Nothobranchius furzeri: one gene and its partner. The protein of the gene in region 2 interacts with the protein of the main gene of each other region in a pairwise test. Links are inferred from orthologs where the notes say so. Each region holds a gene or a part of one and is shown on either strand. Other genes may lie near its edges.

The links.
Region 1: the proteins of traf3ip1 (region 2) and sfr1 interact in a two-hybrid assay, tested with the Homo sapiens proteins (2 studies listed by BioGRID and IntAct). The link is inferred for Nothobranchius furzeri from reciprocal best matches to the Homo sapiens genes TRAF3IP1 and SFR1.

Annotation. Positions count from the first base shown.
Region 1 is NC_091752.1:33,769,139-33,778,931, forward strand, and holds sfr1 (swi5-dependent recombination DNA repair protein 1 homolog), read left to right. Parts: upstream 1-5,882; 5' UTR 5,883-6,008; coding exon 6,009-6,107; intron 6,108-6,203; coding exon 6,204-6,509; intron 6,510-6,588; coding exon 6,589-6,777; 3' UTR 6,778-6,876; downstream 6,877-9,793. Other genes in the region: cfap43 (cilia- and flagella-associated protein 43), read right to left, coding at 6,898-7,073, 7,151-7,301, 7,389-7,463, 8,227-8,397, 8,469-8,631, 8,751-8,863, 8,955-9,129, 9,212-9,300 and 3 more. UniProt on the Homo sapiens protein: Component of the SWI5-SFR1 complex, a complex required for double-strand break repair via homologous recombination. Acts as a transcriptional modulator for ESR1.
Region 2 is NC_091754.1:2,496,939-2,508,181, forward strand, and holds the start of traf3ip1 (TRAF3-interacting protein 1), read right to left. Parts: upstream 5,611-11,243; 5' UTR 5,512-5,610; coding exon 5,389-5,511; intron 3,835-5,388; coding exon 3,766-3,834; intron 3,144-3,765; coding exon 2,982-3,143; intron 2,199-2,981; coding exon 2,073-2,198; intron 1,969-2,072; coding exon 1,612-1,968; intron 1,520-1,611; coding exon 1,442-1,519; intron 1,289-1,441; coding exon 1,265-1,288; intron 1-1,264. Other genes in the region: agr1 (anterior gradient 1), read left to right, coding at 5,611-5,706, 6,186-6,289, 6,721-6,857, 7,008-7,071, 7,226-7,278, 10,230-10,306, 10,777-10,840.

The DNA of each region.
Region 1 (9,793 bases), on a different chromosome or scaffold from region 2:
GGAACAATGCGCTAAATGCGCAGCTGAGGCGCAGAGCGTGCGGAGGATGTTCTCAAACTCCTCGGTCCTTTTGTGCCTTTTCGCTCAACTTTCCCAGGCGAGTCAAAACAAAGATTTGGGCTCCGGTCCTAGCCGCGCCCATCAGGGCTGCAGCTTGGCAGGCAGGTGTGGCAGAAAAGAAGAATATAAAAAAGAAATCAGCGCCTGGGGGGGCGCATTAGGTTGTCTTCCTCTGCAGACACAGATAGTCCAGTGTGCAAAAGAAATGCGCTAAACTCCTCCTCTTGCTGCTGCTTCTCTGTTTCAGTCACCACTTTTCAAACTGGTCAAGTTTTGTGGAGGAGGAGAAAAAGGAAAGATTTTTTTCTTTTCTTTGTTTTTTACCTTTCATTTTTCGGGGGGGGGGGGGGGGCTTAGTTTTGCAGTAAATCTGGCGCAGTTGGTGCACATCTGGTGTGCATATTGGAAGAAGGAGCTGAACCTTTGAGCTACAGGTTTCCATGTCAAACGCAACTGTCTCGCAATGCAAAAATCACATTTTTAGGTTTAAAAGTATAATCAGAGCAACTTTTCCTGACAGAAATATTGCTTTTGCAGCTGCAGCATGATCAGCGTCCATCGCCCTGTTTGCTATTCGGATTCTCATAATTTTCATGTGACAATTGTGATTCTGCAGAAGCTGCAGCATGAAACACTTTCCACCACATGCACTCCCAAATGAGAGGGAACGAGGGCTGTTTATAACTCTATAATTGTAAAAAATGTGCCCAATCTGCTCATTTACATTTATGCAACGTGAGACAAATTAGACGTTTTATTCCTCCGCTGTGAGCCACAGGCGTCCTCAGGTTCCCTTCACCCGCACCACACCACACCCAGTGGAGACATCCACCCACCCTGCAATGACTCACAGCCAGTTTGAGTCTAATCTGCACAAATCATGGAAAACAAATGGCCCCAAGGATAGAATAACGGAGGAGAAGCTGCTCCGCTCTCATCCATGTGTGAGGTAGAAAAATCTCAGCAACAGATTCCAGGATGGTGAAGTAGAAACAGGAAGTGATTGTCCAGCAATGCTCTCCTGTTTGATAAATCTGTAGAGTATAGGGGCAGCAGCTTCCAGGGAATTTGTGATGGGTTAAGTCTCGGCTCAGCCCTCAAGATAATGTGACACACACACACACACACACACACACACACTGATCCATTTCCTGGCATGGTGAAACAAAGGCTTCATGGTCAAAAACTGGTTTTCCATTGGGTGTTTGGAAAGGAAATTCACCAGAGTTGCTGCAGAAATTCCTCTCATAAAAACTAGAAAATACTTATAAAATGAATCAGTCAGAGAGGTGTACATCTGAACTCACGTGGAGGAACTTTGTGTGCGCTGGAAGAGATAAAAACTGACTCCAGCTTTTTGTGGAGCTCACATTTTGTTCCCAATTAAGCTGGTAAAACCTCTCTGGTATAATAAACACTTTCCTGCTGTGGAGGCTTGGCTTAGGGACCGTAAAGGCCACATTCTGAAAGAAAGGCACATGGATTATTTTTAAACTTTGTTCTTGTTTATTTTTCTTTAGCTGGACAATTAAATTGAGACTTGGGTGGGTCTTAGGGGTACCCCACTTCTGTGGTTTGGCTCTTACGTGTCAAAGAGTTTTTAAGGTTCTGTTTTGTAACTGCCCTTCTCCATGCCTCCCACTCCACTGCGGAGTGCCGCAGGGATCTGTGCTCGGGGATCTCCTGTTTTCCATTTCCATCCTTCCCTTGGGTTCTAGCTTGAGAAAATATGGCCTGCACTACCACCTCTGCAGATGATTGCCAGATACCTGGCTTTGAATAAACCAGGTGCTCTCTCCCTTCTGGACCATTTTGACTAAAGTGAGGGACTGGCTGGCTGACCATAATCTGAAGCTGAATGACTCCAAGTGTGAGGTAATCCTCATGGCCAAACTGGGCATTGAGATCCGCCGATCATTTGCTGCTTCACGTTCTGACTATGAAATATAACGTGTGGGGGGAGCGTGTTTTTGTGCATGCTGCTCCGTCCTTCTGGAATGCTCTTCCTCTCTCAGTGAGGCAGGCACCATCCCTTCCCTGGTTTAAGTCATAGCTTAAGACCTACTTTTATGACCTGGCGTTTCCAAACCCCTGACTTTTTATTGTCATTATGTATTCTTACTGATGACTGTGATTACCTGCTTTGCTATATATTGTTAGGATTGACTGTGTTTTTGCTTTTATATTGTGTTTTAATTTGTAGCCGTACTGCAGATTGGTCAGCTGCCATGCTGTTTTTAAATGTGCTTCAGAAATAAACTGGTGTCATCAGTGTCTCTATGTTAATCTTATTTTTCCAACGAGGAAATAAAGACAAATTAAAGTTTATTTTTTATTGTTTGCTAATCAATTTGACCCCCCCCCCGCCAAAATGCAATTTCACATGAATTATGGCAATTTTTCTGAATTTTAATAAATATTATAAAACCGTAAATCACTGAAATTTAAATGACAACAATCAGCAGTATAGCTTTAAGGCAACATGCACACAAAAGGGCTCAACAGAACAAAGTGTAAAGTAGAATTTATGGTCAGTATGAAACGCATTATGAGGGTTTATTTTGAAAGTATGTAGCTGTAACCCAACCATCCAGCTGGCACAACAGTCAGTAGGCTGAATGTCAAGCTGCTATTTCTAAATTACTTCTGTTTTTAGTCCCAATTTAAACCCTTTCAGTTGCTGCCATCTAACAAGCAAAGGGAAAGTGTTTAAAGAAGCTTCACATAGGAAGAAAACATCATTTTAAGGACTATTTTGTCACTTTATGATATATAAAAAACAACATGTTTTTTTTTTACTTTTTCTTGGTCAGTGTTTTTTTAAGAGTTTTTAATGTTTTCTTTCTTTTTACTTTGGTTTTGGTTCCATTTTCAGATTTGTATTTGTTCACTTGATCCATTAAATCAACGGTGTCCAAACTTTTTAAGACAAAGGCCAAAATTGTCTATTTAATTATTGCAGGCCTCGAGAATATGATTGTTCTAAGTTAAAGGTGCATGAAGTAAATATGACATCCTGTTGGGTACTGCAGTCTATTTATGAAAACAAACGAGACCTCTCTCTAACCCTTTTCTAAATATCCATCAAAAGCGACAAAGACCACGAGCCTGTGATTGGTTAGTATGCTGCTTCCTTTAACGGCATCAGCAGCATCATCTTCCCCCCTCAAATAAACAAAGCGAGAGCTGAACATATCTAGTGACAGACATGGAGCAGACACTTTAATACACTCTTGACTGAAGGAGTTCAAAGACATGCAGCAAACTTATTATTCTTGTCAGGAAACGACAGGAATCGTGAGTTTAGAGGCGGTGACTGCAAGGAGAGGGGGGGGCGGGGAGAAATTTTTTCTTGAGAAAGAAGTCTGTTTCAATGTAACCTTCCTTCCAACATGACTGAGACATTAGACTGCTTTGTGATTATTTCACAGTAAAGTTCTTACTTCCTTTACCCTTAAAAAATGCTTAAAGAGCAAGACACCCCCAAATCTACCTTTTTTTCTGATAAACTATAGAAATGTGTGTTTAATCGCGCTGCAGACACATGTAAGTCATTAGTTTTGCACTTTAGTGCATTTTAGTTAAAACTTTAATTTTCTGCCTGAAACTGTCAGTGTTGTGCGTTGTCAGGTAAAAACTCTGCACTGCATTTGAATTTAAATCTGCCATCGCTATTGGCTAAGAGGTACCCTAGAGTGTTAGCTGGTACCATATGATGTCACAATGTCGTTGTGAGCCTGTGTGTGTGTTTGTTAGTGGCTCCGCCCTCTCGTTCTGCTATAGGCAACAGCATTTGTTGCATTTTTCAAACAGGAAGTGGGAGTGGAGTAATACTCTGGTAGGGGGTGACTTGCTCTTTAAATACATTTTTGGTGATTTTTTAAAATCCTGACAGTAGATCTATTGTATAATAAGTATATTAGTAAAAATCTAAACATAAAAGCATAAAAGTATAACTCCAGTTTCACAACCTGCTGTAGAGAATAAATTCATCGTTCTAAAAAAGCACTAAGTTAATCTGAGGGCCATAAATGGCCCCCAGGCCACTCTTTGGACATGCATGTCTTAAATATTCCGACATAAACAGACTCTTGTAATTTAAAGGAGGAACCAGTGATAAGGGAACACATGACAGATCTTAGCAAGATTAAACATGTCATGTCTCTTTTCATCCATTATTAATCAGCACCACCAAGAAACATTGTCTTTGTCTTATGAAGGATTCTTTCACCACGTTTCCAGTTGACACGTCTTGATGCCGATGTGAAAGCCTGAAAAGTATTGAGATGACTGGTGTAGCATTAGAATAGAATAGAATAGAATAGAATAGAATTTATTAATCCCACAAAAGGGAAATTCATTTCTGCAGGGAAAAACTGCATATTGTGTCATGTTTCTTCCACTGGAAAAGCCTGAAAATGTCTCCCAAAGAGTAAAAAAAAACATCATCAGGAACTGATAGCTTGCTAAAACATGGCATACATACATAACATTTGTACTACTACTACTAATAATACATTTTATTTAAAAGCGCCTTTCTGGTCACTCAAGGACACTGTACAGAATAAAAACACACCAAAAAAAATTAAAAATAAAGCACACATTTGCACTAATAAGTGGCCTATTTAGAATGTGATGAAGGTTCTGGCATCCTCAAAGTCTCACATCGCCTCTAGATTCAATAAACCCCCACCAGTTACTCCATGTTTGTTTCTGGGAATAGAGCAAAGTATTTTATGTCAACTTGGTAAGATAAAAAAAAAAACACTGCAAACAGTCTACTGACTAACACACAGTAATTATCTTCAGCCCTCAGCCCTCTGAGAATCATCCATATAAAATGTAAAAAAATCCCCAGCTCCCTTGGGTGTGTAATATCGCCCTGCCAAGAACTGATGTTCAAGTCCAGGCAGCATCATAATTTACATTTTCACACACCCCGTGGCCGCATAGACACACACAAAAAAGTGAGTTATCATATACAAGTGGGGAAAAAAAACTCTTAAAGGGCTTGAAGAGTTATAAATAGGTAGCTGTAAAAGAGATGAATCAGCTAATGGGAAGGGGTGAAGCAAATTATGACTCAACTTTAGTAAGAGCAGCATGTACCAGGCATGTCCGCCGGCCCTTAGAAATCACTTTTACTTTGTGCTTTGCTTGAGTGCAAAAGGTTATCCATTTAATCCCGCAGGAGCGGTCCTGTCTCGCATCGGGTTTAATGGAAAATCTCAATTTGTTCTGAAATTAACTCAAACTGAAAAGAAATATTATAGTTAAACATAAGGAGGATCGTGTGGCTTCAGTGTATGCTCGAGTTTTAAAACACATTAAATGCTGAAGGGCAGTCCTGTGATAATTTTTTATGAAGTGAGCGATCACAACGTGTGTGTGTTTTGTGTTTTAGTTAACATTTTTAATGCCGATTTCTAGCATAAAAAAGAACACAAAATAGGACCCATTACTTCGTTATTTTTTACACAAGTTAGTAAAAAAAAGTTTTTTACCTATGGGAATAAAAATTAAATTTATTTAAACTAAGCCTTGTTAAAAAACACAAAGTAATGGATATTGAAGTTACACACAGAACGAATTCACAAGAGTATACAAATATATGACATATTTAAATAAAACAAATACTAAATTTAGCAAAAAAAATAGTCCTCCTATGTCCCCTAAGCACTGCCTTCAATCTTTCAATTAAATTGAAACGTATGAACGTTTTTTTATTTGTGTCTGTCACATAAAAAGGTTTCAAAGATAAAAGTCTAGCCTAAATGCATTTTACCCTAAAGGCTTCAACTCCCAGAATTCCGTTCGGCTTTACGTAATCAAATTCTGACCAATCACACACGCAGGAGGCCATGACCCGCGGAAATACGGAAAACCAGAATTTTGTGTTGTGAACGCGCTACAAAGTCATTTTTTACGAGTGTAAGTCTGTTTTACCGATGGATGTCACTCCCAAAGGAGACAAATTAAAGACTGAACGGTGTTTATCGTACAGTTCAGCCGAGTCAAGCCCATCGGAGGAGTTTAGAAAGGAAAAGGTGAGTATTGTTAGCTAAAGTGGTGCGTAAACTATTAGCTAACATCATAATCTAAAACACGTTTCAGGCTTGATTCATGTCGGGTTTCTCTGATAGCATCCGAAGCCGAGTTCCTCTCTGAGGGAGAGGCTGAAGAGAACCAGGCGCTCCTTCACATCGCCCCTCTCGGTGGCCAAACGCCTCTGCGTGGACAGCGGAGAGCAGGGTGGCCATCAAGCTTCAGTGGAAACGGGCAGCGATCCTCCGGTCTCGGTACACAACAGGGATAACGCAGGAAGCGAAAGGCTATCCGGACCCACACTTGTCTCCTCTGGAGACGTTGCACAACAACTCAGAAAGGAGGTGAAAGAAAAAACAGAGACTCTGCGCCGACTCAAGATGGTCCAAATGTACAGAAGCAAGGTATCAGCTACTTCTAACCCCATCCTCTTTATTTGTGATCACCAAGGCTGAGAATTAATACGAGTCATTGTTTTTTTAGAACGATTTAACACAGCTGCAAACCTTGATCGACAAGTGGCGGAGCGGTGCTCAGGCTGCTCTGTGTGAGCTGCAGTCAGAGGTCCCTGTGGATGGACGCAAGGCAAGCCTGTCAGAGCTCATGGACCTGTTCAGGCTGGAGGACAGCATTCTGCACTTTGATCGCACTGAAGAGGACTTCACTACATAATTAACCACAAACACACTGAAGAGAAGTCAGCACAACTGCAAGTTTTATTTGGTGTTTCTATAATTCCCGTTCACAATAAAAGTACATTTCATGTTCTAAGTTTTGAAGAAAAGTTTTTAATCAGTAGTGTTTCGGCAGATCAAAACACGGGAAATTCCTCCTCCTCAGATGTTCAACTTCTTCCCAGAGGAACTGCAGTTCCTCTGCCTGTTCCCTGGCAAGGCTCTCCAAGTTACTCCTTTGAACGGTTTCCTGGTAGCAGGCATTTCTCTCAGCATTTTCGTCTGCAGCTATAACTAAAGAGCCACATCATCATTAGAAGGCCGCTCCAGTGTGTGCACTCTGTATCTGAAATGATCGTTTTTCTTATTACCTGTTCCCTTGTCGTTCACAAGCTCTGCCAAAGTCGCCTGCAAGTCAGGAATCTGCTGCTCTAAGCTGAGGCTGTTCTTTGCTTTTTCCTCCGCTTTTTTCTTAAGTAGTGCAATCTTTTTAAACATCTGCTGAGCACTCTGCTGAAGAGTCTGAAATTGAGAATAAATGTGTATTATTTCACTGATGAATATTAAAAAGCACACAGAGCACAGTACAAAGTATTACTTCGCTGTTACCTTTTTTGCCAAAGTTTTCTCCAAACTGGCAATTTGCTCAGACATGCGATGCTCTCGCTCCTCTTTGCTGCAAAACTGGAAGGAATAGAAGTTGACTTGTAAAAAAAAAAAGGAGCACCTGCAAAGTTTTACAAGTTAATTTGTGTCTGCTCTAAATATTTTAATAAACCTACTCATCAAAACTTTCCTCTTGCATGGTTTCAGGGGTTTTAACAATGTCAGGAAGTTAAGAGCCGCACAACACAAACATTACCTGAACCCTTTGCCAGAGGAAACTGGCACCACCGCCTCAAAACACATCCGTGTTCTTTAGTTGGTTAATAAATTTTAACAGATGGCTCAGCTTGTGCTTTTTCATTTCTGAACCACCTAAATGTGCTCTGTTTATTTTTAAAACATCCATAAGACAGAGCATGTTTTCTGGCCAGGAGCTAAATATTATCCAGTCGGAAAAAAAGTTTTCCTTAAAAAGTTAAGCACAAAAATGCAATAAACAAAGCAAAGAGCAACGATTTCCACAGGAATCTTTCTATTGGGTAAGAGGTTTAAATGCTGGAGAGAAAGGGTGGGGAGGCTCTATGAAAAATGGGTGTGAGTCTTCTATAAAAGATGATCCATCTGTGCGGAGAGATGGTAACAATTTTGTGCACGAAAAAAACACCCGACGCTGCCAAAACCAAAATACCTGCCTTGAAATCACAGACAGGCGTTTGGCCAGACATGCTAACAGGATTAGCATTTCACCAAAACAGCAAGAAAACCCCTGCCAGGAGGAGAAAAAGCAAAAGGTACAGCAGGAGTTGTGAGTCCAGACAGTTGCATGTTTTTATGAAATTACATTCATCTCTTTTTGCTCCTTTGAGAGTCGAAACATCTTGATGTCCTTCTTGTTGTCTTTGAGGTCTTCTGCCGTCTTATTTAACACCCTGTGCTCCCACTCCAGCTGGACTATCTGTTCACGAATACTTTGGAGACGCTCCGTAGAGGCGATCTTCGCTGTTGCAAGATCCTGACAGTAAAAACTGTTTATTAGATATAGTCGATAGAAAATGAAAGCAATGAAATGGGATCAATGCGAACCGTGATTGTGTGTCTCTTGCTGTCTCTCACACTCCTGTGACAGAGGATGAAGTCGGTGCCTGTGCTGTCAGCTGTCCTGTTGAAGGGGGACACCACCTGTCCCTGTTTGAGTCTAACTAGGACCGCCCCGTTCAGCGGGTGTTTGTTCCTCTCTTTGTGCAAACTTCAACGAAGAAGCAACAAAAGAAATGAGCTTTCTTCAAACCCACGTGTTGTGCCAGTACCTGTCAGCTTTGGAGTTCTAATCCAGCTGCTGATTATCAGATTATGAATCAGTCAAACCTCTTGAGCGCTTCTGAAAGCTTCTCCAACTCCCCCTGAAAAGCTTTCTCCTTGTCTTTTCTCTTCACAATGACGGCCTGCATCTCAGCAAGAGTGGAGATTGTTGTTTTTATCTGCGAAACAACAGCGTAAACGTTTGCTTCATTATTTCAGTTAAACTGTCGGACAGAAGCAACGACCCAAACTCGTTCATTCTTGTTTTACCTTCAACTCGGTTTCTACTTTTTTTCTGCGCATTTGGCAAAACCTCCTCCAGACGGATGGTTTCAAACCCTTTGGCATGTTTCCTGGAGCATCCAGCTCCTCCATAGCCGTCTGCATTTGGACTGGAGAAGGAAGAGGCTCCCTGTTTTCAGTCTGGGCTCTCATCTGTTGAACCCTGAGGCAGGAAGCAGTCTGGATAAGCTGAGGTGTACCTAAGACGCGTTTGAAATAGAAGTTACGCCGACAGGATCCCGAACCTCGGTCTATGCTTGAAGAGCTTGTAAAGTACATCAACCAAATGATGAGACACGTCTTTAAACTCCTTCTTGAAGTCTTTTTCAAACGCCTGCAGAGACAGTGATGGCATTAAATCACATCCGTCACTTCAAGCTGTGACATTTTCAGTATTTTAACCAGCTTACCTGGTTGGTTTTTACCAAGTGCTCGGATTCCTCCCTGAGCCGTTCCACCTCACGTTGGTATCTGTTCACCTCCTCACAACATTCGTTCTGTCAGAGAAACGCAGGCGACGATGTAAAGATGAAGATAAAGATGTTTCTGCAGCAGACTGGAATTCACTAAAACACTGCAGCAATGTTTTCACAGTGGCCTACAACATTTCTCCGACCTTGTGTGCCAATGTTCTTTCATGTTGGAGCTTGAGCTCCTGCTCTTGGTTCCTCATCTGGTCTTCAGTGAACAGCGAGTCCATTAGGTAGTAAACCCTTAGCTCTTCCTGTAAAACACATCAAATAATCATGGAAGAGCTAAATTCAAAGGGAGAAGAACCCTTTTTTCTACTGCACACGAAGCGGCTCACCTGGTATATAGCTGCTGTA
Region 2 (11,243 bases):
TCATCTCCATAAAGCTTTTCAGCAGATGGAAGCATGAAGTGCTCCAAAATCTCCTGATAGCTAGCTGCATGGACCCTGCCCTTGATAAAACACAGTGGACCAACACCAGCAGCTGACATGGCACCCCAGACCATCACTGACTGTGGGTACTTGACACTGGACTTCAGGCATGTTGGCATTTCCCTCTGCCCAGTCTTCCTCCAGACTCTGGCACCTTGATTTCTGAATGACATCAAAATTTGCTTTCATCTGTAAAAAGTACTTTGGACCACTGAGCAACAGTCCAGCGCTGCTTCTCTGTAGCCCAGGTCAGGCGCTTCTGCCACGGTTTCTGGTTCAAAGGTGGCTTGACCTGGGGAATGCGGCACCTGTAGCCCATTTCCTGCACACGCCTGTACACGGTGGCTCTGGATGTTTCTACTCCAGACTCAGTCCACTGCCTCCGCAGGTCCCCCAAGGTCTGGAATCGGTCCTTCTCCACAATCTTCCTCAGGGTCCGGTCACCTCTTCTCGTTGTGCAGCGCTTTCTGCCACACTTGTTCCTTCCCACAGACTTCCCACTGAGGTGCCTTGATGCAGCACTCTGGGAACAGCCTATTCACTCAGAAATGTCTTTCTGTGTCTTACCCTCTTGCTTGAGGGTGTCAATGATGGCCTTGTGGACAGCAGTCAGGTCGGCAGTCTTACCCATGATTGTGGTTTTGAGTAAGGAACCAGGCTGGGAGTTTTTAAAAGCCTCAGGAATCTTTTGCAGGTGTTTAGAGTTAATTAGTGGATTCAGATGATTAGGTTAATAGCTCGTTTAGAAAACCTTTTCATGATATGCTAATTTTTAGAGACAGGAATTTTGGGTTTTCATGAGCTGTACGCCAAAATCATCAATATTAGAAACAGTAAAAGGCTTGAACTACTTCAGTTGTGTGTAATGAATCTAATATATATGAAAGTCTAATGTTTATCAGTACATTACAGACAATAATGAACTTTATCACAATATGCAGATTTTTTTTGAAGGACCTGTATTTTTGTGCGGTGCAATTCAAACTCCGACTGCAAGGTGGCAGCAGCTTCCACCGCCTCCACTCTGACGGAACAACGAGATCTCACAATCATACTGTTATAATACTGGAAGAGTCTGATCTGAGTTTTCCAATGAATTTCAGTCTAATCGGGGTTTTAGTGTCACGACGTATCGTCTGTATTGTGATATTTATCTCATCGCCAGATTAGGGTTAGGATTACACACCGCTGGTTACATTCTCACCTGATTCTCTTCTACCTCTGAGGGCTAAACAGACAAAAAAACACAGATGTGTGGCTTTCAGGAATCACAGTAAAAACTCGGACACATCTAACACCACAGAAACGCTCTGAATCCCCCCGAAGGCCTTTTACTAACAGGTGCGTACAGAAGCAGACGTAAAACCCAACGCAGACTCACCACTGGCTCTGTGGTGGCTGATTTGTTGCTCTGCTCTTCAGGACCGAGTTTCTGCAGCAGTTTGTCTGCCTCTCTGGTCTGAACACAAACAAACAAACAAACAAACAAACAAACTTTGTGTGAGTGATCAGTGCTCAGATTTAGGACAGAAGTGGAGTGAAGCATCATACTTTGTCGTTTCTACTCTCGTCACTTGGGTTTCTCTCTTCCTGGTCTTTCTGCCGCTCTCTGTGTTTGTCTCTGTGAGATTCTCTCTCTCTGATTGTCTGATCGTCTCTGCCTCGATCCCTGTCGCGGTCTTTCTCCTTGTGCCTGTCCCGGGCGTGTCCTTTGTCCTGCTCCCGGTCCCTGCTCTTGTCGTGGCCTTTGGCGGGATGCTGCTGCTCACCGCGGTGATTCCTGTCGGAGCGCCTACGGTCCCGTTGGTGCTCTTTATTCTCATCTCTGCGTTGACTCTCTGGCTTTTGGGGCCGCTCGGCGTCCTTCTGGTCCTCGCTGCTGCTGCGCTCGGTTGCCTTTTTCTTTTCCTGATATTATATAAACCAAAGTAAGGACGGGGACCCGATCATGAGGATAGATATGTGAAACATAACTTTTTATTGGAAAAGTATAGAAAAGTCTTTTTACTCACCTCATCATTCTGTGTGTGTTTGCGTCCCTCCCTGTCGTTACTCTGAGACTTGGACGTGCTGGCTCTGGTTTTTAAGTCCACCTTGTCTCCTGCCAGCACTCGCTTCACTGCTTCATCACTGGACAACTGCAGACCAAACAGTAAAGATCCTCAAAGCGGAGGATGGAAAAAACCTCATCGTGTTTTTAAGTTGAAAGGCAACATTTCACAAATAACACACATTTTAAATGTATTCTTATTCATCCCCTCTTACGTCATCTGTACACGCACTTGTTTTAGCTTGTGTGTTTTTGCCTTTTTCACACTTATGGCCTAAAAAAAGAAAATGATGCTACAACCTTCAGTGCTCTACACAAATATTCTGATTCTCGCTGCATACGCTGCAGTGAGAATGTATTTAAAGCACCAGGAACTGTTTACAACGGTCCCTAGGAAAGTGGCTCATTACCTCCACCTCCAGGGTGTGTCAGAGTTCTCCTGAGGCAGAAGAAAACATTTCCCAGGAGTGGAAAAAATGTTTGTTAAAAACAAAAATGGAGTTTTATTTTAATGAATTCCCATAAAAACAATATAAAAAACACTTTTTGTGTCTTTGTGTGAGTGCGTACACATGCATATGCACGTGTGTGAGTGTGAGTGTGTGTGTGTGCGTGTGTGTGAGTGTGAGTGCATGTGTGTGTGTGTGTGTGTGTGTGAGTGTGAGTGCATGTGTGTGTGTGTGAGTGTGAGTGTGAGTGTGAGTGTGAGTGTGTGTGTGTGTGTGTGTGTGTGCGTGCGCGCGCGTGTGTGTGTGTGTGTGTGTGTGTGTGTGTGTGTGTGTGTGTGTGTGAGTGTGAGTGCATGTGTGTGTGTGTGTGTGTGTGTGTGCGTGCGTGTGTGTGTGCGCGCGCGTGTGTGTGTGATGCAGACCTTATTGAGGCAGCACTTGCCGATGGCCTGAAGCAGCTCGTTGGTTTTCTCCGGCTCATGGCCGGCAACGATCCGTGCGGGCTTGGCCGCCAGAGGCTCGCCGGTCACCAGCATCACGACATCTATCGCTTTCTGAAGAAAGGTTATTTTTGAGTCCTTTTCCTAGAATGAGATATAATGAAAAAAGCCGTTACCGAGACAAAAACATTTAAAATATAAACTGATTAAAGGCAAAATCTAAATAAAATTGGTTCCATACCAAAAAGAAATGATGACATCATTTGTTTTGTGCAAAAGCAGGTCAGTAAACTGATAAACCAAAGACCAGGAGGACTTGTTGGTCAAACTGACTTCTCTGCACTCCTGACAGCTGAAGTGATGAAACTGAAATATGAATCTTACCCCCAGAGTGACTGGGTTTAACCGCTTGTTACCTCGTTGTTCGAGGGAGGAAATGTAAAACACAACACTAACAACTCATTTCTCTCACTAGTAAGAAACGGGCAGCGTGCAGCTACGTTTGTAAGCAGAGAAGACTCGGTGTAGCTCTCTTTCATTCAGTCCTAATCAAGGATCGCCTTGCAAATAGCAGACTAGCATTCTGACACCTCGACAAACACTCAGTCTCTGCCTGCCAGATCTTCTAGCTCACAGTGTTGCCAGACGGCGTATCTGGTGACTCAGGCTGCCCAGTGAAAACACACGGGGGTAATCCTGAACAAATTAGTCTTTTCAGGGGAAAAAAAGGTCAAAAATCAAGTAAATATAGCAAGAGTAAGCTTACCTTTACACTATCTGACTTCATTTCATTTTCTCCATAGAGGCCTTTCAAAAAACCAGTGCTCCTGATTACCTTAGAGTCAAGAGGAAAATAAAGGTTTACTGTTATTATACAAATATTATAGGTGCTTCTGCAAAACCTACATCATTCTAATACAAGTTAACACAAAATGTTTTTGATTTTATGGAAGCAAGCTTAAAGCAGACTTATGGCTGCAAAATGTTTTAATTTTCAATCAAGTATGTCTTAAACAACTGAATTCCTTTAGTCAGATAAAAGAATATTGCTATAGGAATGCTAACCTCAATTAATTATAAATAAAGCTAGAGTGAAACATAAAACCATCCAACCAGTGTGGTGAGAGAATAAGATCTCAGTTCTGTTTAGAAAATAGATTTAGTCTCTAATCTGTTAAAGAAAAGAGTTAAAATATGAGTTTAATTGTAAAAAAAACATGCTTTTAAAGAAAATATTTTTAAAATTACATTATATATTATGTATTATTTAGTTCATGCAGTTATATACATTTTGCTAATATATCCTGTTTGTGAATACCCGTTCTGCTTTCTTAAGCATGTACACAAACACAAATGTACGATTTTATTTTTTACACAAACATGAGCAGAAAAAGGGTTTAACACAAGAAGCTGACGTCATATTGTTCTACACACATCACACACACAGATGCTCAGTTATGGGAAGAATAATAACCTAAATAATTTAGGTAAATAATGAAAACACACTTTTTCTGCACAAATACTCATTCAGTTAGGAAATGCTCGTCAGTCAAAAATAAATCAGGAAAACAGCAGAGTGGCTCATCAAAATAAGAGCATCTAATGATGCCCCAAACACAAACAGTACGACAGACTGCACTCTACAATATATTATGATTCTAATTCTTGTGTAGATACATTATTCAAATAAATAGTATTTTAAACCGGTTTTTGGTTATTTAAAATCTTAAATATTCTAAATTTTCCTTATTCAGAAAACGTCAGTTGCCAGAAGATAACAGGAAAATGTTTGATGTACAAAATATGTTGCCTTTGTGTTTTACCCTCGTTCTGCCATTTCTACTTAGACAAGAGTAAGTTTTGTCTTAAGAAGGGACAATCATTGAAATAATAATACTTTTTGACATTTACACTGTCATTATTTGGAGCTGATACTACAAATAAAATACAAATTTTAATATTTATCCAGACCTACGACTTACACTGGTGAATCCTACGTTTGTAAACATCTAACATCTAGATGTCGATCAAATGTTGCTGTACATTAAATACAAAAAGGCAGAACTTATGCATCCAACAAGACAGCTGTGGTCAGCTGCTCGGCAGCAGGTGTGAAGCAAGTACAACCTAAACATGTACAGTCATAATAATGAACGTTAGCAGCTGCTTGTCTTTAACGCGTGTTCGCTCTGGGTGCTGAAGAGGAGAAATGCAGTGATACCGCTTTTGAACAGCTGCGGTTAAGCTAACTCGCTCCTGGTGAGGGTTGTCCGGTTAGAGCTATCCCTTTCATGGACACAGATAATAAAGCACACGCAAGGGCTTCATATACAGTTTTTAACTTTATAAAATGTCTTTAAACGTAACTGTTGTCCTTAGTCGGTCTCACCTCACTGATGATGTCGTGAAGGTAACGAAACGGCGGTTTGTTTAGCAGTTTTTCCGTTAACGGCGGCTTCTTTATGACTTTCCCCAGCGTGTCCTGAGTCCTCTTCACCACCGCTGCGTTCATGGCGGCAGATGAAATCCCAACTGAACAATTTAGCTGCTAGAAAAGGGGCGAAAACTGGTCTAAAACACGAATGCTAGGCGGCTCTGGGGCTCCGTTGCTATGTCAATATCCAACAATCCCACAGTGCACCGCGAACGAAAGCTGCGCATGCGCCATAGGCTTTCGGTTGCTAGGTGTTCTGTGTCCATAGCAACGGTAGCTAGCTATGTAGAAAGAAACGAAATAAGGAAAACGATCGTGTATACAGCGCATCTCCAGATAAAAACCACGACGTGCTTCACAAGAACAAAAATAAATAAAGATTAGGCCGACAGACAGACAGACAGATGATAGATAGATAGATAGATAGATAGATAGATAGATAGATAGATAGATAGATAGATAGATAGATAGATAGATAGATAGATAGATAGATAGATAGATACCTAAATTTTATTGTTTTTATTATTGTTTCCTTATTCACAACAACACTTAATTTCCATCTGGGATTAATGAAGCATTTTCTAACTGGATTTATTAAACAAGCACTAATACTACATTTAGAGTCAGTGTTTCAAAGAATTTTATTTATGAAAGTATGAATTATGAAATCGTATGAAGGTGTGCCCAAACTTCCCATGCATGCAAATATGTCTCATATAAGTCATAGACCTTTCTTTGTGTTTCATTTAAAGCAGGATGCTTGTTTTACCCGTTTGGCAAGTTCGGTTAAAAGTCTGACAAAAGGTAAGGTGAGAAGAACAGCTCAAACAGACGCTTGCTGCTTCACGCTGGACAGGTAAGACATCCACTACGAGTGACTTCAGTAGCCAAAAATCAGAAAATTCAGATTCAGTTTCAGCTGGAAAGTTGTTCGCTGCTCTTCAGAATAGAAATGTAATGCTTAAACCATTTAATGCTACGTAAGGGCTTGCAAAGTTACATGCTGTTTCTTTCAAAAAGAAAAAAAGGTACAATAGTTCATTGGATTGAGATTAAATAAGAAGCTGCATTAATACATTAAGACTCATTCCTATTTTGATTACAGTAAACAGCTGTGATGATGTCATCCATAATAAAATAAAATATAAAAATAATAGTAACATAAAACAAGCTTCCTTCGCGGCATCATCGCGCCGGCCTGTCAGACTTGTTTGGTGACTCAGAGCTGAAGCCCTTCAGTGAGCTCTGCGGGTGTAAGAGTTCAAAAAATGCTTTGTGCTTTAAAAGTGCACGCCTTATTCAGCTGTCTGGTTCTCCAGAGGACGAGGAGATGCTTCACTGGGCTGTGTTTGCTCTGCTGATCGGCGCTTGTGCCGCTGCAGAAGAACAGAAGAAGAAGGAGAAGGCTCCATCTCTGTCAAAAGGTGGGTCGCTCTCATTCAGCCTCCATGTTTCTGATCATTCATCAGTCAGATTGACCGATTTAGTCCCAGCACACAACCTGAGTTTGAATTCAGCTTGTGAAGGGCGCAATAAAAGCAAACAGGACATGTTTAAATGTATTTTCTGTTCAGGATGGGGGAATAATATCAAATGGGTCAAAAGTTATGAAGAGGGCCTAGAAGAAATGACAAAAAGGTAAGAGTTCATTTCTTTTGTGCTATAGCTCCTCTTTATGCAATATCAGTCAATCGTTGAAATCCATGCATGGTGCCTCATGTTCTCAGTACTTTAGTCGTTATTGACAACCATCAGTATGCTGAGCTGTTTCCCTGTGGTTTCACTCTCCCAGTCAGAAACCATTGATGGTCATCCATCATCTAGACAGCTGCCCACACAGTCAAGGTACCGCTCTTACATTGCTTCTTGTTTGATTTGATCTTCTAACCATCTTTCTCCGAGCACCTCGAACGAGCCGTCCCGTCCAGGTGGTGGGTTTGGCCTCAGTGGGAGTGAGATGTTCCTGAATGTGTGCTCTGGAGTAGAGCTGTACACATTAATCACTCAGCTGGTTTCCTGTTGGTGAGCTCAGTGAGCACCTACAACACGCCGATGAGAACGACCTCTAGCAGGGAAGATCTCCGTCTCGGTTTGATGCAGGCTTTAAACAACTGGGTTTTGTTTGCTCATGTGGCATCCGGGGTTGCTGTAGTTGCAACACCACCTGGGGAGTAACACCCCAGGAAATAAAGACACAGGTCCACTCTACAGATCAGGCAGGAGATGTGCTTTTATTAAAATATAAAAGAAAAAGAAAAGACTGAATTAACCTGAACAGGCTGAATCTTTCACCAAACCAAACTAAAGTCACCCGTCACAGTGGCCTGCATCCAGGAGGTGCATGGTGAAGGAACACACACACACTGGGACGTAATTTGGGGGGGGGGACGGGTGGGACATGTCCCCCCCACTTTTTCAAAAGGCAGTTTTGGTCCCCTGCACTTTTTTCCGTCCAAAAACAATGTTACGCTCCATTAAATGGATTTAGTTGAGCACTAGGACCGAAACGGAAACCGGTTTACTATTAGACCCGCCCAAAAGCTAATCTATTGGCTCTGCTGATACTTGCTAACGTATTATTGGCTGTTGCTGCTGTCACTCAAGTTGGAAACAGTCAGAACGTGCTCACGTTGTTTTGCTAGTTTGGAGCCGCTAGGGAACACCGGTACTGAGTCACATCGTCAACTAGACGCTGTGTAATATCAGAGCTCAGCTCAGCTTCCACTACATAACATTTGAATAAGTGTTCATTTGTGAGTCTTTGGTAGTTAGGCACAGCCAGGCGGCAGCATGTCAAGAAAACGAAAAGTGGATATAAGAGACTTCTTTCAAAGTCTAAACGTAAGTTGGAACATGTGACACCGCTGCATTAAGCTCAGACTGACCTCCTCCTTCACAAACATACTCAAAACTAACTTTTACAAACTCATCTCCTCCACATAACTGACTCCTCAGACACAATTTATTCGTATTATTATAATTATTATTATTTTTATTATTACTATTATCATCATAATTATTATTACTAGTAGTAGTAGTAGTAGAAGTGTAACTTCAAAACTTTTATCATTTAACTTTATTGTAAACTTATCTATTGCAATGTATATGTTCACATTAAAAAGCTCTGAAAAATGAACAGTATCATCATCGTCAACAGATTTTTAGAGCTTAATGTCAAAGATGTACACTTTTCATTAGATTTATCTTATTTTTTCCTTTTATTTTTTGTGTGTTGAAATGCAACAACTGTTTAAACACTTTTAAGGGAAAAAACATATTTAATATGTTTTTATACACTCAAATGTTAGGGTGATGATCATGTGTAAAACATTAGTTCAGCATGTCCTCTAACACAGCAAATGAACAAACGGCCAGATCTCAGGAGGGACCGTTTATGTATAAATAATTTTTATACTTTTGACTAGGCCTGGGAAAGTAACACATTTTGCTGGACGATATTTTGTCCAACAAATTGTTGATGATAAACGATATTGTCAACATTATCTAGACCAAAATAACCACTAATATAATGTTAATATATCATAATAATGCAAGTACACCCTTTAAAATGCAACAAATAAACCTTCATTTAACATTGAAATGTCCAGAACCAGAACTTCTAAATGAATAAAAATAACAAACAAAAATTGAATAAAAAAAGAACCTCACTCCCTGTTAGAAAATGTTGCACCAAAAACAACAAAAAAGACCCAAAACAATAAATACAATGGCCTATCCATTGTCAACAGCCAAAACTGCACTTCAATAATGATAATAAATAAAAATAATAATAGAGTTGTACATTTTTTAACTTTGATATATATATATATATGAGGATGGAAAAATTATTGAGATGGGCACGTGACGTGTCAAGGGGTATTTACATAACACCCCCCACCCCAAATCCGTACAAGCCTGCTGTGTCCCCCCCACTTCTGAAATCAAAATTTCGTCCCTGCACACACACACACACACACACACATATGTGGAAAACTCCCCACCACCAAGGCCGATGGTACCCCACTGGGAGCAAACAGCCTGCAATAAAAGAAAGAAACTGTCAAAAACAAAAGCAGGCAGTTGGCTAAACGTGTTATAAAAAGATGGACAATCTGCTAGTTCACCAGCCAGGAGTTGAAGGCTGTCTAAAATAAATAAAAATAAAGTTAAATAATTTATTTTAAACGAGCAATCAGTCTCGCTCAGATGCGCGCCACACACATTGAAGAGTTAAACAGCTGGAAAGTTCTTGCTGCTGGAGACACCGGAGAGGTGGTCCTCCTGGACCCGAGTGGAGTCTCACTAGTCTAGTCTAGGAGGTGATGTCAAGCGGAACAGGTGTTACGTCGATATGTGTTCCCCCCTCGAGATCTGTTTCTTTTGCACCCAGCTGCAAGTGGAAACGACCCAATCACAAAAAATAACCCTCACCCTTACCCTAACCACCCAGTCACCAAAAATGTGTGTTTAGCATAAATATAAATGTAGAAAATATTATGTGTGGCACAATTTTTCTGTTTGTTTCAGGGTTATGGTTAGGGTAAGGGTTGGGTTATAACGCCAAGGTTAGTGAGAGGCGATCCCCGAGGGAACAAACCCCTGCCCTTAAAACAGGGCGCCCTCAACAGGTGATTGGTTGAGCAGCATCCCCCAGCTGCAAACGATCACCCTGCTACACTCACGTCTGCAGAGAACAATGTGTGCAACATTTTCAGAATTTTCTGGGGCAAATAAAAAGTACCAGTAATGTTTTCGTGGCGTGCACAAACACAATAACGTCTAAACTATTTTAACAGCACTGAAGAAGGTGTTTGTTGCTGATAAGGGCATCCAGAAAATGGCTAAAGAGGACTTCATCATGCTCAACCTGGTGGTAAATAAGCATCTTTATTACCTGGCCTCCAAATATTCAAAGCATGCAAAGATTATAGAAAATAAAAATCATCTTTACTTAAAGAGCAAGTCACCCCCTACCAGATTCTTACTCCACTCCCACTTCCTGTTTGAGAAATGCAACAAATGCTGTTGCCTGGCAGACCGAGAGGGCGGAGCCTCTAACAAATACACACACACAGGCTCACAACATTGTGACATCATAATGTACCAGCTAACATCATAGTGTACCTCTTTGCCAATTGTGATGGCAGAATTTTTACCTGAAGACAGCGCAACACTGACAGAATATACATTTTAACTAAGATGCACTAAAGTGCCAAATTACTGACTACACGTGTCTTCAGCACAACAGACACTCATCTACATAGTTTATCAGCAAAAAAAAGTTGATTTGGGGGTGACTTGCTCTTTAATTCCCTAATATAAACATGTGATATTTCTCTACAGGAAGAGACTACGGACAAAAACATGGCTCCTGATGGGTATTATGTTCCCCGAATCTTGTTTGTTGGTAAAAATATTGTTTCTGTATCAGAAAAGAGAAAAAAATTAACCAGATTTAACTAGATTTTTGTTATCACACTAAACTCACGTTGTTTTATGCTTTGAGCTGTAATATTTACTTTTAGTATACATTGTAAACATACAAGAAACAGGAAAGGTTTCATTATTTTTGTAATATTGTCATTGCTTCTTCCAAATTACAGTGAGCTGAATTAAGAATGATACAGGTACAATTGTAAAAACAAGAATCTCGTGCAAAAGTCCATTTATTTCAGTAATCCAGCTCAGACTGAGAGACCATCTGAAGGCTCAGGGACCCTTTGCAGGCACTCTGGATTCATTAGCTGATTAGAATGTGACACTTTGACTCTAGAATATTTAACCTTTTCACAATTTCTAGTTGTATGAGA